Linked DNA regions of Alligator mississippiensis. The protein of the gene in region 1 binds, or shares a complex with, the protein of each later gene. Links are inferred from orthologs where the notes say so. Each region holds a gene or a part of one and is shown in the gene's direction. Other genes may lie near its edges. The genes, in order: SFN, NFKBIA, MAPT and SIRT3.

Evidence for each region.
Region 2: the proteins of SFN (region 1) and NFKBIA are in contact, whole or in part, in a crystal structure (PDB 6Y1J), measured with the Homo sapiens proteins. The link is inferred for Alligator mississippiensis from reciprocal best matches to the Homo sapiens genes SFN and NFKBIA. Residues at the interface, in NP_006133.1 of Homo sapiens: Glu14, Cys38, Asn42, Val46, Lys49, Asn50, Gly53, Gly54, Arg56, Lys122, Arg129, Tyr130, Pro167, Gly171, Leu172, Leu174, Asn175, Val178, Leu218, Leu222, Asn226; in NP_065390.1 of Homo sapiens: Gly62, Ser63, Glu64, Pro65, Trp66, Lys67, Gln68.
Region 3: the proteins of SFN (region 1) and MAPT are in contact, whole or in part, in a crystal structure (PDB 4FL5), measured with the Homo sapiens proteins. The link is inferred for Alligator mississippiensis from reciprocal best matches to the Homo sapiens genes SFN and MAPT. Residues at the interface, in NP_006133.1 of Homo sapiens: Asn42, Ser45, Val46, Lys49, Arg56, Arg60, Phe119, Lys122, Arg129, Tyr130, Glu133, Gly171, Leu174, Asn175, Val178, Tyr181, Glu182, Ile183, Ile219, Leu222, Asn226, Leu229, Trp230; in NP_058519.3 of Homo sapiens: Arg528, Thr529, Pro530, Ser531, Leu532, Pro533, Thr534, Pro535.
Region 4: the proteins of SFN (region 1) and SIRT3 are in contact, whole or in part, in a crystal structure (PDB 8ANC), measured with the Homo sapiens proteins. The link is inferred for Alligator mississippiensis from reciprocal best matches to the Homo sapiens genes SFN and SIRT3. Residues at the interface, in NP_006133.1 of Homo sapiens: Asn42, Ser45, Val46, Lys49, Arg56, Lys122, Asp126, Arg129, Tyr130, Pro167, Gly171, Leu174, Asn175, Val178, Tyr181, Glu182, Leu218, Ile219, Leu222, Asn226, Leu229, Trp230; in NP_036371.1 of Homo sapiens: Arg99, Arg100, Ser101, Ile102, Ser103, Phe104, Ser105, Val106, Gly107.

What each region holds. Positions count from the first base shown.
Region 1 is NC_081829.1:2,829,757-2,836,351, reverse strand, and holds SFN (14-3-3 protein sigma), read left to right. Parts: upstream 1-4,529; 5' UTR 4,530-4,689; coding exon 4,690-5,430; 3' UTR 5,431-6,021; downstream 6,022-6,595. UniProt on the Homo sapiens protein: Adapter protein implicated in the regulation of a large spectrum of both general and specialized signaling pathways. Binds to a large number of partners, usually by recognition of a phosphoserine or phosphothreonine motif.
Region 2 is NC_081825.1:256,790,718-256,798,507, reverse strand, and holds the start of NFKBIA (NF-kappa-B inhibitor alpha), read left to right. Parts: upstream 1-4,779; 5' UTR 4,780-4,860; coding exon 4,861-5,093; intron 5,094-5,279; coding exon 5,280-5,388; intron 5,389-5,503; coding exon 5,504-5,714; intron 5,715-6,348; coding exon 6,349-6,437; intron 6,438-6,556; coding exon 6,557-6,817; intron 6,818-7,450; coding exon 7,451-7,498; 3' UTR 7,499-7,790. UniProt on the Homo sapiens protein: Inhibits the activity of dimeric NF-kappa-B/REL complexes by trapping REL (RELA/p65 and NFKB1/p50) dimers in the cytoplasm by masking their nuclear localization signals.
Region 3 is NC_081827.1:159,259,676-159,267,456, reverse strand, and holds the start of MAPT (microtubule-associated protein tau), read left to right. Parts: upstream 1-4,636; 5' UTR 4,637-4,651; coding exon 4,652-4,814; intron 4,815-5,367; exon of another isoform or gene 5,368-5,475; intron 5,476-7,781. UniProt on the Homo sapiens protein: Promotes microtubule assembly and stability, and might be involved in the establishment and maintenance of neuronal polarity.
Region 4 is NC_081825.1:179,439,925-179,447,035, reverse strand, and holds the start of SIRT3 (NAD-dependent protein deacetylase sirtuin-3, mitochondrial), read left to right. Parts: upstream 1-4,094; 5' UTR 4,095-4,373; coding exon 4,374-4,449; intron 4,450-5,444; coding exon 5,445-5,616; intron 5,617-6,994; coding exon 6,995-7,111. Other genes in the region: PSMD13 (26S proteasome non-ATPase regulatory subunit 13), read right to left, coding at 668-746, 2,348-2,442.

The sequences.
Region 1 (6,595 bases):
GCTGGCCAACACCCTCCCCAAGCTGCCTTCCTGGCGCACGCAGCCCGAGGCCCCGTCTCGCTGGCAGTCCGTGCGCTCCGAGGTCACCTTTCAGGCAGCGCTCGCCAGTAAGCCCAGCGTTTTCCGCTGTCTTAGGGCAGCTCCCGTTCTCAGGGAAGGGAGTAGAGCGCAGCAGCAGCTTGCCTAGCGTCCGTCCCTGTCCAGCCTCTTCCCCCTGCTACTGCAGTCAGCGTTACCGGGAGCCTGTGCCTAGCAGCAAATGCACTAACGCTCTGGCCACTAGCAAACCGGGTGCGAGGCTTTACAAAGCAGCTAGTGCGAGACGGCCCAGCCCCTGCCTCCTGCCAGCCCCGCACAGGCCGGGGGACTGGAACCGCGTCAGGCCTTTTACTTTTGTAACACAATAAAGTCTCTCCTATTTACTGTACCCGGACCCCTGGCTTTTGTTCCTCCAGGAAGGTGTGCCCCTTCTCTGCCGCTCGTGACTGCACACGTGTTCCCTGGGGGGAGGTGGGGTGTGAATGAGAAGTCTCCTGCTCAGTGATTTCAGGCTGCAAGCCAGGAATATCTAGCTCCCTGGGCTGCTGTGCGCTGGTCCCAGCCACCCGGAGCCTGGCTAGGTGCAAGTGTCAGGTGCTGAGCTTTGCCACTTGTTCAGGCCTCATCCCTGTGAAACCCCAGGTGCTCCCAGTCAGCTCAGAGCCAGGCTGGGTCTTCCTGGAAACCGGATGCAGGGTGAGCTGCACCTGGGAATCAGTCCGCCTTTTTTTCCCCCAAACTACCTGCGTGCTCAGTGCAGGGAGAGAAGGCGGGGGAGGAGGGGTGAGGGGCTGCTGGTTTTGTTGCTTCAGACCCAGGTGTATCTATTTAACTCATCCAACTATCTTGCTGGGATCATTTGACCCCCTGCTGCCTACCTGCCCTTTGGGCAGGGGCTTGGACCCAATGATTTTGCCAGGTCCCTTCAAGCCCTAATGTCTATGAACTGAAATCGGTGACACTGGGGACAGGTGTCTCCAGCTGCTTCCTTCTCAACTGCCCTGTTGCAAAGTTGCTGGTGGACCCGAGAGCTGCAGTTTCGTATAACTGTGGCAAGGGGCTGATCTGTCCAGAGAGGAGCGAGGGTGGGTCAAGAGCAGCAGGGGAAGCCGTGTTGCATGCTGCCGGGGAGCCTGGCACGTCGCAGGACTGAGGGGTGGGTGCAGCAAGGCGCGGCGGGGCTGCGGGCCTTCCAGCCAGGGCGGGAGGGAGTGAGTAGGAAGCCTGTTGTGTTAATGCCAGAGCGGGTCTGCAGCTCTGGCTGTCGGTGCTCGGAGCTGGCCTGATCCACGGGCCCCACTGAATGTCATCACCGCCACGGGGCGTAGCCTGGCCCGCCTCTGCGCACACATCTGTGCACAAACTGGGTCAATTTGTTGGGCACCTTCTTGATGCGTTTGCTGCCGCTTATTGTTCCCGTTCATGCTGAGCTGTTTGTGAAGGGCGTGCCCCAGTCTGGTCCATGCGCTGCCCGGGATGAGAAGGTGAAGTGGGGCCAGCCCAGGCCAAGCCCATCTTGTCATGCTGAGCCCTGTGCCATCCTGGCCCCGTTCTTCCTGCCACGTGCGCCCAGCGACTCGCGTTGGCCTCAGAGGGGAGGGACGGGAAGGCGAGTTGACCAGCTCCAGGCCCGAGAGCCCCTTTTCTTCAGGGTTAACTTGATCCTCTGCTAAAATGGAGGCTTCTGAACAGCTCCTCTGGGTTAGGTCCAGTTCCACCAGCCGGGAGGCAGACGCGTGTGGCAGCATCGGCACTGGCTGCCGGACTGCAGCGGGGCCCTTCCTTTTCCCACGGCAGCGCCACGGCTTTTCTCAGAGCAAACAGGGACACAGATCAGGAAGGAGCTAATTCCTCCCTCCAGCCAGGGAAGAGAGACTGGGGCTCACCCATGCTTGTTCCTTACCTCTCCGCTGGGCTTGGGAGCAGACAGGCTTGCTCAGTTTAATTCTCCAGCGCCGAATGCAGCAAGCATGTGCCCTGCCGCGAGGCCCCTGGTGCAGCGAAGGGATCGCAGAGCTGCCTGAAGGAAAGGCGCCTCGCCTGCCTCCTCTTCAGTCAGCTGCACAGGGCAGGAGGCTGCGCAGACCCTACCGCGCGGCGGGCGAGCCCCCAAAGGGGAAGCAAACCTGGGGGGACATTCACACCTGGGAAGGAATGACGCGGCTGTGGCTAGAGCACGTAGGCACCCACCACGTGGCCTGGCATCCCCTCTGACAGCCCGCAGGCTGCTCCCCCCATAGAGAGCCTGGCACCTGCCGGGTGCTACTTGCCGGCATCTCTTTTGGAAACACTCATTGCTGGTTCCAGCGCACGGCTACTTGGGCGCCTGCAGCACCAGGGTCCCCGTCACCCCCATGGGGCCCCAGTGCAGCATTCAGGCCCCAGAGACGGGGGGACACGGGACAGGGAGTGCAGCACTAGGTGGGACCTGGGAGAACTGGGTTAAAGCCCTGCTCTGACACACATTTCATGCATGAGCTCGGGCGAGTCCCTTTGGCACCAGGCTGCGGTGTTGGGCCGTGGGAGCTGCGTGTGGAAATCTCTCGCAGGTTCTGGGCCTCGGTGCCCGTCTGTGTGACAGCAGGGATCGCTGTGCTGCCCGCTCTGCCCCGGGGTGCCGGGAGGGGCTCAGATCCCTTGGTAATAATTACTCAGGGAGCGGGGAAGGCCTCTAAGCTAATTGCACCCATTGCACCCAGGAAAGCTAAGCACACGTCACGGGGCTCAGCCTCCCCTGGCTCATCCAGGAGGGATTCAGCGCTGTAGCTAGGTCACGGCATTCCCCTCAAATCAGCAGCGAGCTGGTCTGATCTCACTGGGGTGTCACCGGGGCCTTTCAGCAGAGAAGGGCTCAGACGTCAGCTGGGGGGAGACAATCCAGGGCTCTGCGCACGGATGAGTAGCGCCGTGAGTCACGCAGCCAGAACAATTCCTCGGCGCAGTGGGACAGCTGAGTTGCCAGCCCCACCCTCCCCGCAGCGGATAACGTGGAGGATTAGCGCAATGAGTTTGTCACGCCGCGTCCTGGCAGCAGCAGAAAGGAGCAGTCGGCTCCCAGCAAGTGGGAACAAGCTTAATCAGTCTGAGAGTGAAACTGCAGCGTAACTGGAGGAGGAGATTCTAATCAGGGCACATCACGGCGAGAGGCAGCGCAGCGCCGCAGACGGTCCCTTTTCCCTATTTCATCAAAGAGGCTTTGAGCCGGGCCGGTAGCAAAGCGAGAAACCATTGGCTTCTCGGCAGAAGCCGCTGTCCCTGCCTCGCACGCAAGGCCCTGGGGCAGGATGCTGGCTTTGGGAGCCACCAGGCTCTTGCGCTAGTGGCCCTGCGGGCCGGATAGAATAGCCTGGCGAGCCGCACCTGGCCCCTGGGCTGCATTTTCCAATCCCTGCCCTGGACGGTCTAAGATGGGCCTGGACACCCGCTTCCCCCACGCCCATTTGCTCCCTGCACGGAGCCACATGCACCCACCTCTGGTACACAGGCTGGGCTGTCCAAGGCGCTGTCCCTCCCGAAGGAGGAGGATAAAGCATCTTAGTGTTGAAGCAGTCCCCAAAACTAGAGCAAACGGACTGGGGTGACCCTATTCAGTCACACGCTCCTGGTTTGCTCCTCTCCTCTATAGGCAGCTTTATTCTCAGGGTAGAAGAGATGAGCGCAGCATGACTGGTGTCTTATGCCCTGCCTGTTGCCCACAAACCTTCCCCCTTTCCCCTGGAGGAAGGCCACATGCTTCTCAAGGCTTTTTGAGCCGGTGCTGTCATGCAAGTCTGCTCACGGGCCCAGCAGAAGAGGGCATCGAGCTTACTGGGGGGGGGATGTGATGTGATCTGAGCGCAGCAGCGGGAGCCGAAGCTCGTGCAGTCTTAGTCCACCTATAAAACAAGCCCTCTCTGCACTTAGAGAAGTCACTTGTTCTCTCTGCCTCGGTTTCCCCGGCTGCACAAAGACCCAGCTCCCAGAGGAACGAGCCCTTTTGGTATTTGAAGTGGCTGCATCGTGTTAGCTTTCTGCGGTCAGACAAGGTATGTCTCATCAGGCTGAAGCTGCATAGCCGCTCGCTGCTGGGGAGCTAGGGGTGCTAAGCAGAGACCATCTGCACCTGGCAGAGGGGGCAGCTAAAGTCCCCCGGCAGTGAAAGATTTCCTGGCATCTGAAATGGGGGTTAGATCTGCTTGGTCCTCCCTGAGGGCTGATCTCGCTTGAGCAGCGGAGCAAGGCTCCCACGGCCGAAAGAGCCCATCTCTAGGTGCGTGTCCAGCCAGGATGCTCTCCGACCACCTAGAAAGGGTGAGGCGACAGGCCGGGTGGGGCAGGGCGGGGGGCACAGTGCCGGAGCCGGGAGTGCAGAGGCCAGCCTGTGATTGGCAGGCGGCAGGGTGGAGGCCTTGCTGGACCTGGATGTCTCCTCCCTTCGCTGGCACATGGTTAGTGAGCTCCCAGGTGAGTCACTGCCGTTTGCCTTTTAAGGAGCTGCCCGGCTAGGAGGAAGTAGAGGAGGGGCTCAGCCAGGCTTCTCAGCGGCACCCAGCCCTTGCTCCAGGCTCAGACGCTCAGCCAAAAGCAAATCCCGTCCGCGGCACCGAGACAGACTTTGAGGGCTCCCAGGACAACCGCCTGCTCCTTCTCCAACCAGCAGCGCTCCCAGCCATGGCACGAAACCACCAGGTGCAGAAAGCCAAGCTGGCCGAGCAGGCCGAGCGCTACGAGGACATGGCCGACTTCATGAAGGCCGTGGTGGAGCACGGGGACGAGCTGTCCAACGAGGAGCGCAACCTCCTCTCGGTCGCCTACAAGAACGTGGTGGGGTGCCAGCGCTCGGCCTGGAGGGTCGTCTCCAGCATCGAGCACAAGACCGAGGAAGGCGACGACAAAGCGCAGCTGGTGAACGAGTACCGGGAGAAGATCGAGGGCGAGCTGAAGAACGTCTGCAACGTCGTGCTCGGGCTGCTGGACAAGCATCTCATCGCGGAAGCCAGCGATCCGGAGAGCAAGGTCTTCTACCTGAAGATGAAGGGAGACTACTTCCGATACCTGGCTGAGGTGGCCACGGGGGATGACCGCAAAGACGCCATAGACAATGCCCAGAAAGCCTACCAGGAGGCCATGGACATCAGCAAGAAGGAGATGCAGCCCACGAACCCCATCCGCCTGGGGCTGGCCCTCAACTTCTCCGTGTTCCACTACGAGATCGCCAACGCCCCCGAGCAGGCCATCACGCTGGCCAAGACCACCTTCGACGAAGCCATGGGCGACCTGCACACGCTCAACGAAGACTCCTACAAGGACAGCACCCTCATCATGCAGCTGCTCAGGGACAACCTCACGTTATGGACAGCCGAGTGCGCGGGAGAAGATGGCGGCGAAGCCGGGGAAGAGCCCAAGAACTGAACCGCGGCCCGGCGAGCTCCCCACCTCTCGGCCCCTTTTTGGCAGACGTGTCTCGGCTCCACAGCCCGGATCCTGCTAGCAGAGGGGACGTGCCCGCGCGTATGGTATTCGCACATTTTATCTTGCCTTCCCCCGAGGCAGCTTCGGGACAAAACCCCCTTCCCCGGCCCCATCCCGATTTCCACGATACCCCTGGTGGGTGGTTGTTGCTACAGAAGAGCGCTGCTAACTCGGTGTCCTGCCCAGCGTCCTGTATGCTATTGTTAGCATGGGGGGTGTGTATGGAAGGGGGCATCTTAGGCCCCCCCCACCCGCACCCCTTTGCAAAGGGCTGAAGGGTCCCCACTCTTCAGGGCGTTTAAGCAGGGGAATCTGAGGAGCTGGGAACCTGGCCATCGCTCCTGCGGCGTGCTGTGCGGGGTCCCTGTCGCCGCTGCCATGAGCCTTGGTGGGAGAAAGCTGGAGGTGAGGGGCCTGGGGAGGGATTCTTTCTTGCGGGTTAAGAATGATAAACTCGTGGTGCTGCCTGTGTCTGTATTGCCATAGCCGCTGTCTGCCTGTCCCTGCCAATAAAACTTCACCTGCCCCCTGCCTCGGTCGTCCTGGTCGTTACTCTTTGCTGGGCCTGGTGCTGTGGAAGCGGCTGGGTGCAGCCCGTGCCCCCTGGCACATGCCTCTCTGCTGCTGGGTAGGGGCGAGGGGGTTCCAGCTGTGCACATGTCTCGGCACGGCACAGGCCCGGGGCTTTTCCAGGCAGGCTTGTGCATGCCAGGCTGCCTGTCAGTGCGGGTAGCGGGGTGGGGGCGCGGGGAGAGGAGCGAGGTGCCGCAGGGCAGGCCTCGGCAGGAGGCAAGGACCCCACCAGAGCCGCACAGCGGGCGATCCGGTTACAGCGACGAGGGGATGGGGGAGCAGAGCCTTCCTGGGCCTCCGGTGTCTCGGTTCTGGGTAAGCAGGACTCCTGCCCCCGCCTCCAGGGCCGCTATCGGTTGCTTTTGTCCAGCCCGTTGTCCGCCCCAAGCACCATGTGCACATACAGGCCCATGCACACGTGTGCAGGCACCTACATGCATACACACGCCCCACAAAGCTTCTCCCACTAACGTGGCTTTTAAAAGCTGCCGTTTCTCTTGTTTCCTGCGCAGAGCCCGGTCTCCAGAGAAGG
Region 2 (7,790 bases), on another chromosome or scaffold:
CTGCATATTAACTTTCAAAACATAAACACTAAAAATTGTTAAACTAATCTAATAATTAGTTTGGTCTCTCAGTACTATAGTGGCTATATTTGGGAATTGAAAATATTATCTCAACGACAGTTCTTACTGGATTATTTCCACTGTACCCACAGTGCACTTGGTGCTTTACAGACAGTACACAAAAGTTTCGTCTTTGGAAAAAGGGACCTCTAGAAAAGCACGTTTGTAAATGCATCACCCCACATACAAATTCAGATTGCCAAGCTGTGCAAAAGAGGAGGCTTTACTCAAACCCTTCACTAACCTCTAATTGGCTCCTTTTTTCTAACCCTCAGCCAAGGCCAGGATGTATTGTGTAAATTGCCTTTTCCTGTTATGTTTGTTACCAACCTGCATAGCCCATGAGATTAAGTGGGAGGAAATGGTTAACAGATCTTGGCAGTGATAATCACAAAGGTCTCAGCAGGGACATAGTTGGGGGACCAACTCTGGTAAATTACAAGTGCTGCAGTCACAGCACCAGACAGTTCTTACTATTAAAGTGGAAATCAGGAAATCACAGTCTAATGCATTTGCTCATGGAAGTGGCACGAGAACACTTCATCTACCTTAAAACTGATGAAAATCATGCTGTCTCTTTTCAGTGTTCTAGCCCCCAAAGCTGCTTTAAAGTCTCATTCAGGTACTTTAAGGGAGTTAGAGTCAATACAAATATATGGTTTCTTTGGCACAGTGATACTAAAAATTGAGTTCTCAGGCCACCCAGAGGTGAACAGGTTTTACTGAATCCAGCCTTTAGGTATCATATTTTTTCTCCACTTTGTGTAATATTATTTCTCATGGATATATGTTCACAGAGTTGTTTAAAGAGCTTTGTACAAGTCCAAAGAGTCATATAAGCAGTAGCTTCTCCACAAAGCATTCCCTGTATTATTATCCCCATGTGACAGGGAAAACCAAGGCACTTAGAAGATCTCTGAAATCCTTTTCTGAATGAGATACCACTTCACCCTTTAGCCAGTTCATCATGGAAAGTATTGTACTGGTCTGAGCTGAAAATGACACCAGGTCAGAATCACCTCTCAAACAGGAGCAGATAAGGAATAGATGAATGTCACTGAAATTGTTTCATAGATGCTAAAATAGAGAAAGTGAGACAAGAGATAATCAAAAGAGGAGAGTTATCAGGATTTAAGATTAATTCAAGCTTGGTGTCAATGACTCCCATTCCCACTGACTTTGTCTCACTTGTACCAAGCCTGAATTCTCCTTCAGCTGCTGTTTCTCAGCATCCATAATTCCTCAGTGTCTTTACTCACTTCAGTTCTCCCAAGGTTACCCCATTGCATCGCGCTGCAGTTAGACTCTCAGCCCCTGAGAGAGCAGGAGTTACCTTGGTTGTGTCCCTGCACCCACCCACTCAGCTCCATTTGAAATCCCCATCCAAGTCTCTGTCCCAAACTTTAATATTGAGTTAGTAGTCTGCCTGTGAAAATAGGCATGCAATATAGCCCACACAGCTAAAAGTACAAATATTTGTTTAAGAAAATGGTGATAAAGTTCATTTGTTTCCATTTCAATCAATTATCCTTGCACCCAGTAAAGAAAACTTATAAATAACCTACTGGAAAAATGCTTATGCTTGAAAGAGTCAATATTCTGCATCACTGCTTAAAATCTTTTCTTTAATACAATTTTGTACCATTGTAAAACTGTATTCTGTATATGTCTTTAGTTGTGATAGTTATCTCATTTTAAATATCGCTCCATCCATCCATCTGAATTAATCTATTGTCTCTCATATACTGAGATTCTAACTTCTTTGAAGAACAGATGGTCTTTTGGTCTACCTGGCACAGTGGAGTCCCAGTCTGTGTTTGACTCCCCTAGGTTTAACCAAATATGCTATTACTACTGCTGCTACTATGAATAATAACAACAAATTTCAACCTCTCTCACTATGAACAAATCTAATCACAACATTCTATGCTGTGCGAGTCCAATCAAATCCCAAAGCTTCAATCACCTTGTTTGGGCTGTATTTAGATGCAAAAATTCTGGTCAGGTTTCCTATGCTGCACCTAGCTGGAATCTTCCTTAGATGAGCACTAAAATGCAAGACTATATTGAGTCACAGCTACCATATGAAGTACTTCCTCACCCCGCTCAGTCCCAACAAACCTTTTGAAATGATACTCCACAAAGATCCAGCAGATGTCACTATATGCCCTGACTAACAATCCAGCTGTCCTCTTTAAATTGAGGATGCCTTATACTTAGCAATTATAGGTGAAAGAAATCAAGTCTTGAAGCTGCTACTTAAGCTGGAGGCACTCAGCAACACAGATGTCTTAACAACTGAGTGAATCAAGTTAACAGAGAAGCTCAGATATATTATATGTAGTTAGAGCAGAGGTTGTCTTCAGAGAGCTCAAAATATCTAACTTCACATGCTTTGATGTTTGTTATGATCATGTAATGTGCAGCTCTGCACCTTTAGTACTGGAACCTCCAAAAACTAAACTTTTGCTTGTTTAAAGAGTTGATATGATAGCCTGAAACATCTGTGAGAACTTGGCATTTGCATTTCCATAGAGCAGGAAGTAGGTTAACCCTGATGTGACTTTCCATAAAGAAATAATTTTCCATTCTTCTTCTAACACCTATGTTTGCTTCAAACTGATGAAACTTACTTAAAGATGAAGACTTGAACAAAATTAGAATGTCCAGGGATTCAGTTATCTGTACAACTTCAGTTGTGGAAGGAAGTGGAGAATGTATTTTGCTAATTCCAAAGTCATCCATTTAAACTGGAATGTGAAATGTTAAAATTTATGTTGATTCTGGCAAAACTGATTGTGGGGTTCCATATTCTTCTTGTGTATTATTCCTCCATCATAACAACAAGGGCAAGATTCACCTTTAAACAAGAATCTTTAGTCTTTGTAGAGCAATGGTTTCAATTTACTTAGAGAGATTTTCCTTAAAAAATAATTTCCTGCTTAAGGATTTAAATGAAGAAGAAAAATTGTTTCAAGAAACACATTGAAGGTTCATGCCTCTTAAATTAAGAAAGAAACTGTTGTGGAACTTTTATGAACCTGCCCAAAGAAACCACCACTGGGTTCTCCAAGGCCTAGTGACGAATATTGTTACTTTTTATAAGTGTGTGGAAAAAGTCCAGTAATGTTACTTCTGGCCTGAAAATTAAGTTGGCGTATCATATGCGCCTTCTCTACTGACCCCCCACTTCTCCTTGGATTTTCTCATAAATGTTTTCACAGGAATGCCATCCCAAGGGAAGAAGACGAGAGAAAATTCTCAGATGTTATTACTCAGTGTCGTCAGCTACAATTGCAGAAAAAAACCTCTTGGAAAACCCCCTAAATCTGAGGAAAAAATGCAAGCTTTGTCAATGATCCCAGCCAAACTAGCTTGTTGAATTCTACATGTCTGCCAGTACGGCTAGAAGTATCTTTTATCAATCTAGGAGCTTTTGGTTTTGGTTATTCCTTTACCAGTGAATGTCACTGCACACAATAGATACTTCCAGCAAAGGAGAGATGTGAACAGCATAAAGGCTAAAAGAAGTCACTGTTCCCAATTTGAACAGCATTTGTTCTTTTGAATACATATGCTCTGGGAAAGAAGTGAATTTAACCTTTGACTGATACTAGACCTACAGGAATGGAAGTGGAACTCCTCTATCTATGCCTCATCTGACTGCATTGACGCTGGCTGGAGTTTTAGTACAAACTTCAGAGGGCAAAGGTGAATCCCCCTAGAGAGAGTACCTGTACCAAGTAGGTTGCACAAGTAGAGAAGAGTTTATAGTCTGCAATTGCGCAAAGTAGATCTCTGAAAAGCTTGTCAGACTCCACAGACAATTCTGAGGTCCGGGGTAGCTAGGCTTATTATCTGTGCAATCATTGTTCCATACATCTCAGTAGTGTCATTTGTCCTAACCTAATGAAACCAAAAGCCTGTTACCGAAGTACCATGTTACCAAACTGACATGGAACAGACTGGGCAGCTCAGGACCACCTGCACAACAGGTCAGTTGCTTAGCATCACGGCTGCCTCACAGCTCAGGCCCCTGCTGCAGCCTGAGTGGCACTCAGGGGAGCTGCATGTCACAGTGAGTTTGGCCAGGTCATCCCCCTGCTTCTGAGTGAGCTTTGTGACCAGAAGGGCAGCGCAGCACTGTACCTAGATTCCTGGCAGCCCTGGGCAAACTTTTAGTATTGGGCCCCCCTGTGCTAGAGATAATGATAATAATAATCGTTACTGTGCCCTTTCTGTCTGGGCCCAGTCGCTTGATTTGCCTATGCCTGTGTCCAGCCTTGAGGACAAGACATTGCTTTGGTGCCGCCTCCTCCAGAAAAGTCAGGCCTGAGAACCCCACCGAGGACCTCCGGCTGCTGCGCTAGCTGCTCCGCTCCCACTTGCCTGTGCCGGGCACAGAGTGGGCCCCGGGACGGGGAGGGGGCCCAGCGCCACGGAGCCCCCTGCCACAGAGGGAAAGCTTGAGGGAAAGCCCAGGCGCAAAGGAGGGGACACAGGGAGAGCCGGGGCCGAGGCCGAGCCGGGACGTCCTTCCCCTGCAGCTGAACAGAAAAAACCCCCAGGCTCGGCCCCGCCAGGGGATTCCTCAGGCGAGGCGCCGCCCTGCAGCAGCAGCAAGGCCAGGCCGGGCCGAGCACAGCAGGCCTGGCGGTGACTGCGCTGGAAATTCCCGGGCAGGCCCCGCCCCGCAGAAATCCCCCCGCCTCCGCCCGCGCCTATAATGCCGCGCCGTGGCCCCGCCGCCCGCACGCAGATGTTGGCAGCGTCGGAGCCGTGAGTAGCCGTAACTCCGCCATGCACAGCCCTACGTATTGCCCCGAGCTCGGCCTCGGCCCCGGCCTCGCCATGGTGCCGCGCAAGGAGCGCGCGGCGCTGGACGACCGTCACGACAGCGGCCTGGACTCCATGAAGGAGGAGGACTACGACCAGCTAGTGCGCGACCTGCGCGACATCCGCCTGCAGCTGCCCGCCGCGCAGCCCGCGCCGGCCCCGGCCTGGCGCCACCAGCTCACAGACGACGGGGACTCGTAAGTGGGGCCAGGATTGGGGTCGGGGTCGGGGCCGGGGCCCCGCGCACGGAGGCCGGGGCGGGCGGGTGGAGCCGCTGGAAAGTCCCTGGAGCGCGGCCAGGGCGTGTGGAAAGCCCCGGCCGGCGCCGGAAAGCCCGGCCTTGCGCAACGCGCCGCCTCACCGGGACTTTCCCTCCCCCGCAGGTTCCTGCACTTGGCCGTCATCCACGAGGAGCTGGCGCTGAGCCTGGAGGCCATCCGGCAGGCGCGGGCCGAGCCCGCCTTCCTCGACCTGCAGAACCACCTCAGCCAGGTACCTGCCCCTCCTCCCTGGGCCCGGCGGGTCGGGCGGCTGGGCTGGTTCGGGCTGGGCCCTGCTCTGCGTTTGGCACCTGGCTGATCCCACTCTTGTCCTGTTTGGCCCCCAGACGCCGCTGCACCTGGCCGTGATCACGGATCAGCCTGAGATCGCCGAGGCCCTTCTCAAGGCCGGATGCGACCCTGAGATCAGGGACTTCCGTGGAAACATGCCGCTGCACATCGCCTGTGAGCAGGGCTCCCTGAGGAGCGTGGGGGTACTCACACAGTACTGCCAGGCGCACCATCTGCACGCCATCCTGCAGGCTGCCAACTACAATGGTACGCTGCTCGCAGCTTACGCCAGTTCGAATAGACAGCCCTTAGAGAGGGCATTGGCTTTTTGCAACCAAAGGAGTTTTAGAAACGTGCCAGCCTCGTCATTCCCATTTCACAGATGTGGAAACTGAGGCAGGAATGGAACTTCCTTAAAGTCTCTCTTCAGTGGAGCTGGGGATAAGTCACAGTTCTGCCTGCCAGTCTTTGCTCTGTCCACTGACTCTTGGCACTTGAACTTCCAGCATCTAGTGCTGTGGGGATTTTCTTTTTGGTTTTTTGGCTTATATTATTTTAATTTTGACATTTTGGATGTTTTCTTGTTTGGTTAAACAAGCTACTGTGGAAAATCAAGATGACTTTTTTCAGTTTTTTGGGTTCTTTGTTGGGTTTTTTTTTTTGTTTTTTTTTTGTTTTGTTTTTTTTTAAGTAAAGCATCTAAGAAATAAGGTTCTTCAAAAAATTGATGTGAGCCTCCTATTCTATGAGCACTCTGGTTCACATAAAAATTTCGCCTTTGATTTGGAGCAGTGGATTCAAATACCAAAATATTATATAGGGTAGAAAGGAATTTAGATCTGAGTGAGTGATAATGTGTAATGGGGGAAGTAATTAATGTTTAAATGTGTTTGCCTTTCAGGACATACATGTCTCCATTTGGCATCTATTCAAGGGTATCTGGCTATTGTGGAATGTTTGCTGTCCTTAGGAGCAGATGTCAATGCTCAGGTGGGTATTTGAAGCTCTTGGTTTAACTGGATGTGATAGCACAGCCATAAGAACACACAGTTCTGTATTGTCACACTTAACTCCTGAGACTAAATATCCTATTTTATTTTTCTGAACAGGAACCTTGTAATGGCAGAACTGCCCTACACTTAGCTGTAGACCTGCAGAATTCAGAGCTGGTGTCACTTCTGGTGAAACACGGGGCAGATGTGAATAAAGTGACCTACCAAGGCTATTCTCCGTACCAGCTCACATGGGGAAGAGACAGCTCCATCATACAAGAACAGCTGAAGCAGTTAACCATAGCAGACCTACAAATGCTGCCAGAAAGTGAGGATGAGGAAAGCAGCGAATCAGAATCAGAATTTACAGAGGATGAAGTAAGTATTTATTTTCACCTTTTATTGCAGAAAGGACCTTCTATGCAAGTTGCCTCCATTAAAGTTGTTGGAAATATGCACACCTGATGCCCTTAAGTTTTAGGGTTGGGAGGTGATATTTTGGTGGGATACAAAATTTGGTCTGTTACCACACTGGATATAAATCATATACAATCAAGGCAGACTAAGAGGTTACAATAGCCAGCATTAGAAATCCAGTAGTAAGGGCTTGAGTACTAGACACCCAGTCCTATTGCAATAATTTTTCTTAAATGTAGATGTCATTTCTGGATCACTGTTTATGGGCCTTAATGAAGCAAAATTCACAGTGATTCCAAAGTGCTGTGAAATGTTGCACTTTTATTTCTTTATGATCAGGATCTTGTTAAGGGAAAGAAGAGTGATAAAACTAATGTTACAGTACAATACAGCCTTAAGAAATTATATGGTTGTTATTGAATGTTGGTGTTCAAGTCATCTCAGATTAAAGATTACATTCTGCTTACCTTAGTTGTGTGAGCAGTGATACTGAGGTTGAGACTAGCAGAGCTTGACCTGATTTTGCTTTGGGTAGATCTGAGTGTTTCCTATAAAAGTATTGCATTGACTTATACTCTTCCTTTTCCCTTCTAGCTGATGTATGATGATTGCGTTATTGGAGGACGACAGTTGGCATTATAAAATGGAGTATTCTCAGAAAGGACATGAGTCTGTACATATGTATAACAGAGACTTACTTTCTTTTAAAAAAATGGAGAAATGTGAAAAAAAAATACTGAAATACACTGTACAGCACAGAGCACATGACTATAACAGCAAGATTCATGTTCTGAGCTGCATTGTAATTATGGGAGAAACGTAGAAGATCAGTAGAAATCTGTGACGAATTACACCACTTCTCAGTTAACTGGTTGTCCTAATATATGATCAGTATGAAGACAGACTGCAGTTTACCTGAACATGCATTTGATAT
Region 3 (7,781 bases), on another chromosome or scaffold:
GAGGTGAGAATTTAATCAGTGAAATGCAAAATGCTTGTCTATATATTTGTTAATATTATGTTCTTGCAGGTACATGGTTAATGTACATGGGTCTTTGTGATGGATATTATTAAAAAATTATAAGTGAATGACAGGGAAATTCCACTTGGGCTCTAGGGACAAACTTCTCAGGCTATGCTTTTTAGGTTTATGAACTTAACAGAGATCCCTCAATGGAATTATTGTCTGGTATTTCATGGTTACTTATTCCCTGTAATTGGATTTTGTGGAGAAACTGCAGGAGGGATCCTTTGTTAGACTGGTTTAAGGTTTCTTTTTTTTTTCCCTGGGAATCTTTAAAGAGAAAATCAAAAGAAAGCTTATGGTCTCAGAACAGATTTCTGACAGAGGTCATGCAGGGGAAAAGAATTTATGATGAAAAATAGAAGTGAAAAGCCAGAAGGAGACATGAGGGTTAATCAGATACAGAACTCCCTTTTTATATATATTTTTAATTAGGGAAGTATAGTCTAGTTGTTAATGAAGGATTGGAGACAAGATCGCCTGGGTTTTCTGTTCTCCAGGTTGCCCTTGTAGTAGCGTGCAACTCTGGGATTGATTTTACTTGGGTTAGTAAAACAGGTCAAATTGCCTAAAACTGAATCTACACTTGGCTATAACTGTTGATAAAATGTGCTTAGTTCCACTGATTTTAAAACTGTATGGAAAAGTTTTCTAGCACATGCATGCCTACCGTGAAGCAACTGGCAGTGCTTTGGAGGCATAACATAAAAATTCCTATTAATGTAACCATTAATTATATATTTGAAGGTGTCCAAAGCAAAATAGAATCTGTCTTCCAAAAGCAGTTATTCTCTGGTATCAAAATTTAATTTGTCTCTGTTAAATAATCTGGTCCAAGGGCTGTCTTCAATTGCATGGACTTCTTGGGTGGACATGTGCTGTATCTGTTAATTGATATAAAAGATATGTTGATCTCACCATTGTCATAAGTTGACGAGTGCTTCACTTTCTCCAAGCCAAAGAGGTCTAGACCCATCCCCTTTTTTCAATATTCTGGCTATTTAGATGATCTGTTGGCTGAGACTAAGACCTATTGGCTGAATATCAATGTTTTTTCTTATGGTTGCTGATATACTCCCAGGCACCTTTCTCCTCCAATATCCTTACAAGGCATTGTACTTTAGAGCTGGTCTTCAACAGGTAAAGGAACAAGAAGAAAACTGCAATGCCCACTGAAAGAAAATGCATACCGAATTCAACTGATAATGGCAGATGTTTCTATAATGTCCGTGGGCTAGCAAGACTAAGGAGATTTCTTTGTGTTATGAAGTCTAGACTAATTGAAATGTGCTATGTGATAGGCAACCTCTTTAGTTTTGATTGCCTTCTAATGGAAGCAGGGTCAAATATTTCTCTCTGAAGAATTTTCCCATTAACTTCAGAGAAGACAAGAGTAATTCATGACAGATTGTCTGGTACCTTCACATCATATCAGTTCTGGAGATTGGTTTACATTCTAGTCTCGCTGGTTTTGAAAGTGCTTGGTGACATTAGCTTAGCAAAACCTTGCTTCCTCCTTGTGGAGAAAAGTCCATACCTTCCTGTAAAGGGAAGACACCTGCCAATTTAAATCAAATGTGAGTTTGGATCTTGCTCAAGAAACCATACTCTTCATACTGAAAAAATAGTTTGGTGATTTTTTAAAGAATGTAGTAGTGATCCATCTTCAGCATCATCTAGATTCTTTGGTATTTGTGCATATTATGGCTAGAAGAAACCATTCTGATCTACTAGAACCTCTTGCATAACATAGGTGTAGAATTCAACAAGAATTCCTGCCTCAGGCAAATGTGTTGTGGTTAAACTAGAGAATATTTTTAAAAGTCATTTGATCATGGTTTAAAGACTTCAAGTGGAGAATTGACTATATGTCTGTGGAGCTTTATCATTCTGGCTTCAGATCTAGGTGTACCATAGAGACCTTCACTGATATCCTTTGTCTGAAGATTTGTTTTTTCTTTGATGAATAAGAGGATAGTTGACCATAATCTTCATAACAGTTTTGTCTTTCAGCAGATCATGGTCATACTTGATCAAGGTATGTATGTATGTGTGAGTCCTGACAGGAAAATGGATTGCTTTTATAGGGTATGTCTGAATGGCATAAGACAGTCATAAAGCTAACTCAGTTTTTTTTGCATCAGTGTCAGTGGTTGGGGGTGGGGGCAGCAACTGCCCGCAGGTGCCGGTGACAGTGTCGGCAGCACCTTTTCATAGGGGTGCAATGCCATGCTCAGGGGGTGCACATGCACCCCCTACACATCGCCAATGCCCATCACCATTCCAGTAGTTTCACCCACTGTCCTTTCAGAGGGTTTGCCTCTGAAAAAGTTAATGGCAGTCTCCTCTCCACCAGATGAGGTCTGTCATTTCTTTTCCGTTGTCCTCTTCTGTTTTTGTGTAGTACCAGTACATTTCACTCAGCCCCATTTTAATACAGTCCTTGTCTGTGGGGTCCAAGTGTCTCTTGATGAGCAGGTTCCTGGCTTTTCCACAAGGCATACCTAAAGCAAGAGATAAACTGATGGGGCCCCTTGTTGTTTGGTCAAGTGTTTGTAGAGGACCACTTCTTTGGTTAGGGTTCTGAAACCTGTCACCACCAGGAGGAGTGCACAGACTTTCTTCCATACTAGTTTAGAGCTAGTTATATATCTGCAGGGCACTGCCTTGAGATGTATAGACACAACCATACCAACTCTTTTTTTTTTTTTTTTTGGTGAGTTGCAAAAGGACTATGGGATATTGCCCATCCTCCTAACAGTTTTTTGTTAATTAGGCCCTTCAGTATTCTGCTTGTTGCAACTTCTCTTAATATCTGAGTGATCTAGAAATTGTTAAGTATGTTGAGCTGTATAGTTGGTATGCTTGTCTTCCTTACCTTACACCTGAGTTCTGCGGTTTTCTTCCTCTTCCAGTGCCTGATCAAAAAAAGGTCTTGGATGAAAATAAACTGTTTTTAAGGCAAATGGAATGAGACAGATAATGTTTGCTAACAGGGGAGAAGCATCTTATAATGAATGCATTTTCAGCCAGGTAGGTAGGTCTCTTTTTATCTTACGGATCCATAATGTTGACATGATCACTGTTCCTGTTTTGCCAGGGGAGAGGAGTATCCTGAAGTGACCCGAATTACCTTCAGCAGGTCCAGATACTACATTCATACTTTTGATCTGGTGTAGCCCTTATTACAGTTGTCCAGATCTTTGTCCCATCTACCTTGACTGCTGTTGCATGCCCTGATTAAATATGTCCTTGCATATCTTCAAGTAAGACATAGACAAGTTGGAAAGAGTTTAGTGAGAGCCACAAAAATTATTAGAAGTCTGAAAAACCTGGCATACAAAGAAAGCTTGCAAGAACTGGGATTATTTCATATGGAGAAGAGAAAATTGAGGAGTGATTTGATCTGGCTTCAAATACATGAAGTATTGTTATAAAGAGGATGGCAATCTCTTGTCCCCTGTGGGACAGTCTTAAGAAATAAACATCTTAAATTGCAACAAAAGAATTTAGGTTGGATGGTAGGAAGAACGTCTCTAGCGTAAGGGTAGGTAAGGACTGAACTGACTGCTGGGGGGGGTTGAGAAATCTCCAACACTGGAATTTTTTAAAGAGCCAGGTGAACCAAACACCAGCAGGTCTAGAGAGGGATGATGCTGCTTCCAGTGGGAGACTGGACTAAATGACCTCCTGAGGTCCCTTCCAGCCCTGATTTTCTATCATCATCATCACCTAGCAAAGGTCAGTGTTCAAGCTCCTTATGTGAAACAACAGTTCTCAGGGAGAGACGTGCTTAATAAAAAGTCAGTGAGATTGGAGCCCGCAATACGTTTGCCTCACCTGAGGCAGGTAGAAAGCGGGTGAGGTGTCTGCAAATGAATTGTGCTCCCATCATAAACACGGCGTGCCCCCCGGAGGCTGGGGGGGGGCAGGTGGCAGCAGTAGCAGCAGCGGGGGTGTTGTGGCGGCAAGCAGGGAGCTCCCGCAGCCTGCCACAGTGGTGTTGGCGGCATGGGTGGCTGGCAAGCCCTGACCAGCAATTGGCAACCACCCAGAGATGCCACCAGTGGCGATCAGGGACCACCAGCAGACCGTGTTGGCGGTGGGGAAGGGGGACGGTGAGCAGCGACTGCTTGCAAGTGCCACTGGCAGCATCAGTGGTGCTCTTCGCAGGGGTGCACTGCCAATCTCAGGGGGTGCACGTACACCTGCATGCACCCCCTACGTATCACCAGTGGCTCTGATGAAACGCGCCCTTGCCTAACTTCGAGAAAGAGCTGCACGGCCCCCCAACCGGGGCTGCGCCCGTCTGTGACGAGACCACCCCGGGCTGTGGGGCCTTTTGGAGGCCGCCAGTGACCCTGTCTTGGGGCTTCCAGCCGCCTAGAGCGAGGCTCGGTTTCGGGCACGCCTTGCGCACCTGCGTTTGTGCCCCATCCTCGGGCGGGGAGAAGCCGCTTCTCTCAGACAAAGGAGCAGGGCGGAGAGCCGCGCTTTCTGCACATGCGCCCGCGTCCAGCGGCGGCGGGGTGGGGTGCAGCGCTTGTACGCACGCGCACTGGAGCGCTCTTTGGCGGCGCTTCTGCGTATGCGTACGCGGCTTGGCTGTGGTGCTCGTGCGCGCGGCTGCTCCCCCTGGCGGCGGCCCGGGCCGGCGCGGGCTCGGCGAAGGTTCCGGAGCGCGCGGCTGTCACTCCCCTGCTGCCGGCTGCGCGCGCCACTCCACCAGCTCCTGCAGCGGCCGCGGGCAGGTGAGCGCCCGGGGCGGGGGCACGGGCACGGGCACGGGCACGGGCACCCACACCCACCCCCACCGCGGAGGCTTGGGACTGCAGCCTCTGCCCGGCCCCAGCCCCAGCCCAGCGTCTTTGCAAGGGGAAGAGAAGCCGATAGTGGTTGGGGGGGTGCGCCTCAGCCCCGCTCGCTGCGAGACTTTCCCCCTCCAAAACGGGGCGGGGTGCGTGAGCCCCAGCCCGCCGGCGGGGCCCCCCCTCGCCGGGGTCTCGGTGGCAGAAGGCTTCTGTTGCCCCCGGCAGCGGTGGGCGCCGCCTGCCCGCCCTGCTGCACCTTGCGCCCAGGCAGCCGTGCATTTCAGGGCGGAGGTGCCCCCCTCCTCTCGTTCCCCCTCCTGTCTCCCAGTATTTTGGGGAGTCGTTCCCGGCGGCAGGGTGGGTTTCCTGGCGGGGGGACGGCCGCGGTGGTGGTGGTGATGGCGAATGAGAGGTTGGCTGTGGGTACTGCAGTAGGTGTGGATCTGGAGAGAGAGAGAGAAAGGATGGGCTTTTTTTTTCCTTTTTACATCCGAGGTGCCATATTTTGCAGTCTGTCACATCCTCGGTATTGCAGGGAGAATCCTGCTTTTAACGTGGGGGGACGCTTGCCTTCGGGTTGTCAGGTGAAGAAATAAAAAAGGTACTCCCTGCATGCCGCTGTCTCTTTTTAATCGTAGAAATCGAGGGGGGAGGGAAGGAGAGAGATTTAGGTCATCGTGTCTAGGAGTTAGGTTGCTTTGTTGCCCAGCGCTGGTCAGCATTGTGTGATTTATGTTTATAATTCTTGAGCCTTAGGTTTCCTATAGCCTTGGGGGAGCACCCCTTTGAATGCACAGTGTCTGAATCACCTTATTTGATGCAATTGATAATGATAGTAATAGCCATGAGTAGGGTTACAATAGGCAGGCAAATCCCTGATAGGTATTTTGCTCCTTTCTGCTTTTTTTTTTTTTTTTTGGGGGGGGGGTTACAGAAATGCAAGGTTCACTAGGATTACGTATGTGATTTTCTCTCTTGCATGCTTTTTCTAAATCACTGTCTGAAATGGTCTTGTAAAATCCCTGAGTATACTGTATAGCAGCTGGTCACGCCCCTGGTATGGCAGCATAAATGGATGCCTAGTGTGATTCTCATTGAATGGGTAAAGATTGTGGTATATTCCTGTAGTTTAAGGAGAGGAGAAACCCCTTTGTCTGCCAGTATGTGTATCCTCATTCTTCACAGAGTGGTTTTCTCTATTATGCTAAAATTGATCTGTTTCTGTTACCTCTTTTTTTTCCCCCATATACTGTTAATTACTTCTAACTGTGGAATTACCCTGGACACAGGAATGTGGGTCCAACCCCATTTCTAAACATTGTGCCACCCAAGGTCATTTTCCATCTCTTATGAGACAGTCTTCTCTCTCTTTTTTTTTTTTTTTGCTTTTTCTGTTTGTAAATGGAAAGGGAAAGCCCTTGGCAGATACTGGCAGCCACTTCATTGTAGTAAGCACAAAGCATGTTGCACCTGGTCACCTAGATTTGAACTGTTAAACTCATCGGAAGCGGAGACGGCTTATTTGAGACCAAGGAGGTGGAATGCTAATTGTTTTCTTCTTTTCCAAAGAATGTGAGTGTCTGGGAGGGTTCGGGTAGGAAAGAGATGTGGGGTTTTTTGAGGTACTGTTAATCACATCAAAAAATAGAACGATCCCCACCTTGCCTCTCTGGGAGGCAGCTGCCATCATCCTACATGTCGTTTCTCCTTCCTTTGGCTTACCGAACCTCTGTGTGGGGTAGAACTCCGGTGGCAACCAAGACTTAGCCTGTCATTATGAACTGCCTAGAACGTGTTGCAGAAACGGGTTAAGGTTTCTGTTACTTCAGTGGTCTGTTCAGAGCATATTGCCTGACTGATCCAATTCATCTACCTGTGCAGTACACTGGCTGACTTTTTAACAGCTCTGCAAAGGAGATGAAAAGAAGCTCATTGGCATGCCTGAAATGCAGACATCAGGTACAGATTTTATTTAACCTCTGTTCCTCATAAATCAGATTTAAGATGCTTAGCTTTAATAATCTAAATTTTTCATGCTGCAGTCAGGCTCTCTGCAGCTTTTTGCACAGTGGACAATGAAAAAAGGCTTGTTAATTTCCCTGTTTATGGCCAACTTCATTACAGGCTCTTGTAATAAGGGTGGGGAGAATATTTAAAAACCATTGTCATTGGAATTTAAAAATAAACTATGGACACATTTTGTTGCTTTTTTTATAATGTATCTACAGTGCTTGACTCGACAAAATCTATGTGGAGGGGCAAATTCTCAGTCATTGTCTGTGCTATGTGCAGTTTTTCCAGGTGAGCTGTTTGGACTGACCAGAAGATGGTCCATGCTGATTTTTAGCTAGAAGTGCTGGATTTTCTTGCACGTGGTTTTCATGGGCAAGTTGAAGGCTGGGATTTGGATGGAAGAATATGTGCAAAGATGCTTTACTTGAATCCCTTCCCATCCATTTTCTTGTTCTTTAGTTGCAAGCCTAGCTGTTTTCACCCTTTTTGAACTGTCTTCAGTGTAAAATAAGGATTGAAAGCATGCATGTATTTTAGCCTTCACAGTTTAAATGCTGATGAATCATGACATTTGTAGTCTCAGCACTCATGCTAATGGACAGCATGCTATTATATCCAGATATGCCATGGGCTTGGTTGACTAAGTTTCTGTCTCTGTAAGTTGTTACCTATCTGTAGTATGGGGTCCCAATTCTGACGAGTCCTATTTTTGAGTATTGTACAGATATGTCTTGAAATGAGAGGCTTGGGCAACTTGACTTATTCAGTTTATTGGAGAGAAGGTTAGGAAGCAACTGATACACATGCAGAACCTACACAGGTAAAAGATGCTAAATCAAATGGCTAACCCTTCAAAATGTAACCTAAAACAGTGAGACTAATTACTCATTGATC
Region 4 (7,111 bases), on another chromosome or scaffold:
TATACCTAACTCAGAAAGAGAAAATTATAACTTTGATGCTAACAGCTTAGGAATTTTGAAGAGATCACCTAGCTTACACAGAAAAAATAAAGGTTTTCAAAACCACAGATGAACCAAATTAAAACCATGCTCCTTTGAAGACCATGTCAATTTTTCATATTAGAATGTAGTAACATGGTAACTGCTTTTACATTTTTAAAAATCAGCTAAAGCTTTACATCTATTAAAATCTGACCACCAATGACTATCTAAGTGATTTCGCAATCAGGGTGCTGTGAGATCCTTTTAAGGGTGCCAAGGAACATTGGCTGTGCAAACATCTACCTAGGGTTCATAAGATAAACCCAGAGTTTTCAAATAGGAATCCAGTGTCAAAAACATTTCGACTTGTGGTCGCTTTGGGCTCTTTGCAACAGCAGAATTGTTGTTTTTTGTCTTTACTGAAAAAATGAGTGAAAACTAAGAGCTGGCATTTTCCAAAGGATGCCTGGCACCTAACAAGGTTGAGAACCACTAGTTCAGTCTGGTACATTTAATGTTTGTTGACATTTACACAATAATTATTCATGCCATTCCAAACAGAGGAGTGTACTTAGAAAGAACTGAAACACCTTCTTTAGCATCACATCTACAGTGACAACCACGTAAGAAAAACCAGCCGACTCACCTTAATGAGTCCATCTCCTTGGGCAAAGCAGGGGTCCTGCACAAAGTCCAACACCTGCAGAGTCAGCTGATGCCAGAGTCTGAAAACAAAACAAAGTCATCCTCAGCAAATATGAGAACAGTAAGCAACTACCTCAGACCTGACATCCACCGAAATGCCCTGCGTAATTATACAGCCCATTTCAGTGAATCTATAAATGACAACAGGGTCATTTCTAACTTTAATCATAGAATCGTAAGAGAAGTAGGGCTGGAAGGTTCACTCCAGAGGTCCAACCCCCTTGCCTGAGGCATGGTCATCCCTATCCAAACCAGCATAGAAACTACGTAAGACTACCCTCAACCCTGACACAACATAGACCTAATACCCTAACTTGCCCAAACAGGTAAAGCAGGGGAACCACGGCTGCCAACTTCCTGCTTCTATAAAAGGTTGCTAATATATGCTCCATAGATCCCAGATAGAAGGCTACACCCCGCCTTACCAAAGAACACAAAAGCCCCTGAGTCCGTACCAGTATGACCAGGGAGTACAATTCCTTCCTGATCCCAAATATGGGAATCAGTCTGACCGTGAGCAGAGGAAAGACCCTCCAGCCAGGAACCTCTGGCTTTATGCCCCAGCAGGAGCACTGGTGCACTCCAGTCCAAATCCCCAGCTTTGGCAGCTGTCAACACCCAAGGATTTTGGGGAAGGCTTAAAAACACCCTGACACGTGTTACAGCTCTTTCAGCTGCTAGTCTGAGCAGTCCAGTATCGCAGCCAGCTTGCAGGCTACTAGCTTTGTGTCCCACCCAGCCTCTTTTATGCTGGTTTGCTTTTGCCGGTAATCCCATAGCTGCTAAACCAGCCTCTAGGCTCCGAACGAAGGAAGAGAGCCATCTCTAGCCTGGCTCAGAGAAGCCTCTGTTGCCTGTGACGGATGACATCACAGTTTCATAGATGCTGGTGGCTAGAAGGGACCTTACAGATCATCAGGTCCAGCCCCCTGCACTTGGGCAGGAAAGACAGCTGGGGTCAGATGACCCCAGCAAAATGGGGGTCAAGGTGCTTTTTGAAGATCGCCAGGGTGGGTGACTGCACCACCCCTGGGGGGAGCCTGTGCCAAACCCTTGGCACTTGATGCGTAAAGAAGTTTTTCCTTATGTCAAACCGAGGGAAGCAAATCGGGTGAAGGCTCATGCAGGGCCCAGGGAGCAGGTGCCACTGAGATTTGATCCCATGTTGCTCAAATCAGAGTCCAGAGTGCTAGCCACTATGCTGGCAACCATGGGGCTGGTGTGCAGCCCAGAGTGTCACACTGAGCAGCTGGAAAGCCGGCACATCCTAGCCAGGGACAGCTGCTCTCCACTCCAGGGGGACCAGGACCAGCACCAGAGACAGCAAAGGGCTGGGTATCACAGACCGAAGTTTGATTTAAAAAAAAACAAAGTCCACCCCCACACACGCGTATGGCTGTGTCCATGTGCATGCGTGCACGTGTCGGCCCTCCCGTCCCCATCCCCATCCCCGTCCCCCGCGCTGCACGACGCGAACGCCCCGCTCCAACGTCTCCCCAGGGGAGACCAGCGCTCGCCGGCCCCCCCAGTGCGCATGCGCGGCGCTCAATACAGGGGGGGCTCAATTGGGGGGGTATTACCCCCCCGCCGGCGTGCTACGTCACCCCCCCCCCGCGCTCACTTCTTGTTGTAGAGCTCCTCCAGGCGGTGCCACACGGCGGCCTGGCCGGGCCCCGAGCTCTGGCTCTGCTGCAGGAAGCCCGGCACGTCCTTCATGTTGGCGGCGGCGGCGGCCGGAGCCGGGGCGACGAATTCGTGCGAGGAACCGGAAGCAGCGCTGCCGGAAATGCACACTCACTTCCGGCACGCTTTGCCTCACCCCGCCGCAGCTCAGCATCCCGTTCCGGCCTCCGCTGGCGCGGGGCATGATGGGTACCGTATGGCTCCGCGTAGTGCCGCCCTCAACCCCTCCCAACCACCACCCGCGGTAGCCATGGCAATGGCCTGGGCCTAGCGCCGCGGGCGGGGCGGGCTCCCCTCCACCCGGTGCTGCGTGTCCCGTGAGCGGGCGCTTTGATACCGGGGCAAGGCTCTGGCGCAGATCCAAAGCAGACCTTTCGAGGAGCGTGTCGCCCAGGACAATACCGAGGTGCTGAGAAGGGCAGTAAATGCTCTTGGAGGACACGGTTTACATAAAGCAGGGGCATACAATCAGTAAAATCATATTTGGCAGCTTTTCGTAGGGAAAAAACAATCGAACGCACAGCTCTGCAAGGGAGAAGTAATGGTGCAGTAATGGACTGGCAGAGGGAAGTACACAGGTAGTTTTGCAACATGATAAAATGGATAGGAGCCAAAGCCAGGGAAGCTCTTGTTGCGCCGATACATGGGCTGCCTCGCTTCAGACCTAACCCGATGACCACTGATAACGCCGCTGCTTGAATGTGCAGAGCCGTGATTGTTTCTCCGGTTGGTGGTAGCACACAACGAAAGCTCATCCTTTCGATGAGACAGCGCCAACGTCCAGACGAGGCTCTTTGGGTAAATCCGATATTTTTTATTACACCAAAGTCCAGGGGACTCATGGACACGAAAGACCCAGTGACATTTTGAGGGACCTGGTGATGTTTATCCCAATGTCCTGGCCATTTTCCTATCCAGGGGTTTACGTTCTGTCCAAGGTACGTTTTGTATGCCAAACTTCAAAAGTTCAGAAATCATGAGCCGCGACCCTCCAACAACTGCACACCAGCATGACATTATGAGTTATAAAAAATAAAAATTAAAAAATAACGGCCAACATATTTGGGGTACTTTTTAGCTGATTTCTGGCTTTTGTGCCTCTAGGAAGTGTTCAGATAGTTTCCTCCCCAACCAAGAGTGCAAGAAATCTACTTATTTTGAAATGAAAACTGAGATTCTCCCCAATCACTTGTCTCCTGCAACCAGGGCTGCTCAAATACCGAGGGACTCACTATCAAATCCCATTTTTATTCTTTCCAATACCAAATCAAATAACCTTGTCTACAAATATCTATGGGCTACATCACTTCAATTGGGCCAGTAGCCTACCTGCCCAACCCGTAGGCCTGGAAGTTCAGATACTCCCCAGATCCAGACGGGCCAGTCCCAGGCTCAGAGGCCTGGGAGTTCAGATGCCCTGCAACACGCTTGATCTTAGCCAAATAAAAACCCCAATATTTAGCAAAGCTCTAAATTCCTCCCCCTGAAGTTGCAATGGAGGAATGGAATGGGGAAGTTTTTCTTCCCTCCCTGCCCTGAGCACTGCTGAACAGGCAAGATGTGCTCCCCTCCCTTTCAGTGGTGTAATAAACACTTTGCAACCCGGTTGCCTCTGAAGGAGAGCTGCTCTGATAACACAGTCTATGATGTGTCTAACATAGAAGCCTTTGTATTAGGGAAATTATGGTAAAGACCTTCTTAGCTGTGCCTGGCTCTGATAGACTGTGAGCAAACAGACTAGACTGGTGGTTTGCCTTGTGCTCTGGATCCCCCTGCCCCAGCCCCGGGGTCAATAGTAATAGCCAGTGCAAAGGTTGCTCCTTGCTATGCTCCTTGCAGCCAAAAGGGCATTCAGTTGCCAGAGCCTCTAAAGGGGAAAGCAGAGAAGCAACCACAGGAACCTCCTTCGTTCTCAGCCACATTGCACAAGTCGTCGCTTTCTGCAACAAGGCGAGTGAAGGGGAATGAACCTGGGCGTACGGTTCAGAGTCCTCGCTGCTGGCAATGTGCTGCCTCCTGCGAGTCATCCGGGATTTGCAGGTAAACAGCGGATTCAGTTGAGACTGAAAAGTGCTGGAGTGAGTAGGACTGCAGGTTTCGGGAAGGCTGAAGATCAGAATGAGGGAAATGGTAGGAGTTTGGGGGGCAGCAAAAATGAGTAGATTGACAAAGTTCAGAAGTGACTGCAGGAGATTGGTGTTTTGACCTTAGAGGCCGAAGGGAGAAGGTAGAGTTCAGACAGGACTTGGGGAGGGTGGCAAGTGAGACTGCGGAGCATGGAGGACTGTAGGGAGTGTGGAGCGGAGAGTTGATGTGTGTTAGATCATTGTCAGTGATGTGCTATGCATGGGAGAGGGTTTTAACTCAGTAGCCCAGTGATTTTCAAGCAAGGTGCCTTGGTACTCTGGTGTGCCTTGAGATCCTCTCAAGGGTGCTGCAGGGTCCCACACAACACTGGCACTCTTAGGTGTCCAAATATGGTCTGCAAGAGAAACCCTGAGGTTTCTAATAGGAATCCACAGTGTTAAAAATATTCTGACCTGTTGTGGTCTTTCTGAGTTCTTTGCAACATAAAAACTTATATTATTGGTCTGTAGTAAAAAATCAGGTGAAAGCTAAAACCTGACCTTTTCTGAGAGGTGCTGTGAGTCTAACGAGGGGTTCCTTGAATCTAAAAAGGTTGAGAACCACTGCTGTAACCATACCTGATTATCTGAAGGCTCTTGGCCTAAGACATGAGCTCCATGAGGGTTTCTAGTGGTCCATAAGTTACTAAGTGTGCATGGAATATGGTGCCTCAAGGAAATGTCCACTTTGTACAAAAAGTGCCCCTGGTGGGCTTTGTTCATCTGAAGGTGCCTTTTTTTTTAATGCTGTGTACAAGTGAAGTTACACCTACATCAATAATACTTAATCAGTGCACGGAGCTGACTGTGTTTTCTCCGTTTTTCTGGAGAGATTCCATCTAATTGGGCCAAACCTCTCCAGTGAGTAGACTTGTCACCTGGCCCAGACTGTGGTATCTTTTGTTTCAGCATGCAGGAGTCTCTGGATATGCACTCAGGGAGATCATCACAGTAGGGTGCTGTCCAGAAATGACCCTGTGCCTTCCTTGGGATTTGGCTTCACCCTCACAAATGGACATTCACAGCAGAGGGGAGTTCTGGCATGGGCTGGAGAGAAGATGGCCTGTGCTTCCAGGGTGAGGTATGGCTGATCTCTCATTTCATACTGCTCGCTGTCCCTCTGCCACATAATCCTGACACAAATTCCCCACAAACCAACGTCCCATTATCTCAGGGGCGTATCCAGCTTTCTCAGTGTCACAGAAATACCCACCCCCAGGAGGTTGAGACTTTTGTCATCAGACATTTCGGATACCACAAAATATGTTACAGCATGGTGCTTGGAACAGGAAGCACCCATCATCTAAATACACAGGCTGCCAGGCTAGGTGAGGCATGGGACCTGCTACCTCAGGCATTTGGGGAGACTGTATGAAACAGAAAACAGGTTTATGGAGAGAAATAATGACTACTGCCAGGGTCTGGACACTGGTTTTAGCAGCTCAACGATCAAACAAGCATGGGTTTGGCAATATAAAAATAGATCATGAAGGCAACATTCAGCAGTACTGTGGCCTACTAACACTGCCATGAGTCATAAATCCCAGCAGCTTCCCCTTGGCTCTGTTCTCATTCCTAGATTTTCTCTGGATCAGCAGTATCATCCTGCACAAACAAATGCTACTTATATAATATGAGATTATAAATTCTTTCATTCCCTTCCACACATAAGGCTGAGCAGTAATGGTGCTTGCCATGTGCACACTGACCCTCGCAAGAGGCAGCCCTTGAGGGGACTCTAAAAGGGTCAAGGGTTTCCTTCAGGCCACAGTGGTAGTTCCTGCAGTTCCTAGACTGGACAACAGCTGTACACATCACAGCAGTATGTAACACAGTCAGGTGCTTCTTATGAGCTGTGACACAAAAAAGGTTTCCAATCTGTGTCCAACCAGAGGCTTTGTATGCTGATTTGGAGATTCAAAGCTTTCTTAATGCCTGTGCCTTCTCTGTAATTCACCCAAATACCTGTACTGGGCATGTCTACACGTGCATTAATGTGCTGTAGGTACTGTGCGTTAAAATTAGTGCCTGCAGTATCAGGTACTAATTGAATGTACAGTAACTGGTGCTACTGTGCAGTAGCATTGGCACACACCTTTTTAGTGACATTAATGTGCAGTAGACTAATTCTACTGCGTGTTAGTACAATAGCACGGCTTTTTCTGTGATGCACTAATGCGCAGTAGAATTAGTCTACTGCACATTTAGCATCTCGTGTAGACATGCCCACAAAGACATAGTGTGAGGCTTAACAACCATTCAGTGCCTTAAGGTCCTCAGGTAGAAGGGTGTGGATGTGCTCCTGAGAACTTAAGATAAGTTTTCTACCTTGGGTTACTCAAGAAAAACACACACATCTGCAGTTTAGAAGATCAGCCTTGGGCTTTCTCCAGAACTCTTGAGATTACAATCCTCAGCCCTTTTGTGATCTGCTGTATTTCTTTCTCTGCCCCTTGCAGGATCCCAGCAGTAAAACCTGTCTCCTTATCTGTTACGGCCAGAGGCATCTCTGGAATTAGTGGAGGGGGAGGTGACAGCAGGAAGCGGAAGCTCACCCTACACAATGTGGCAGAATT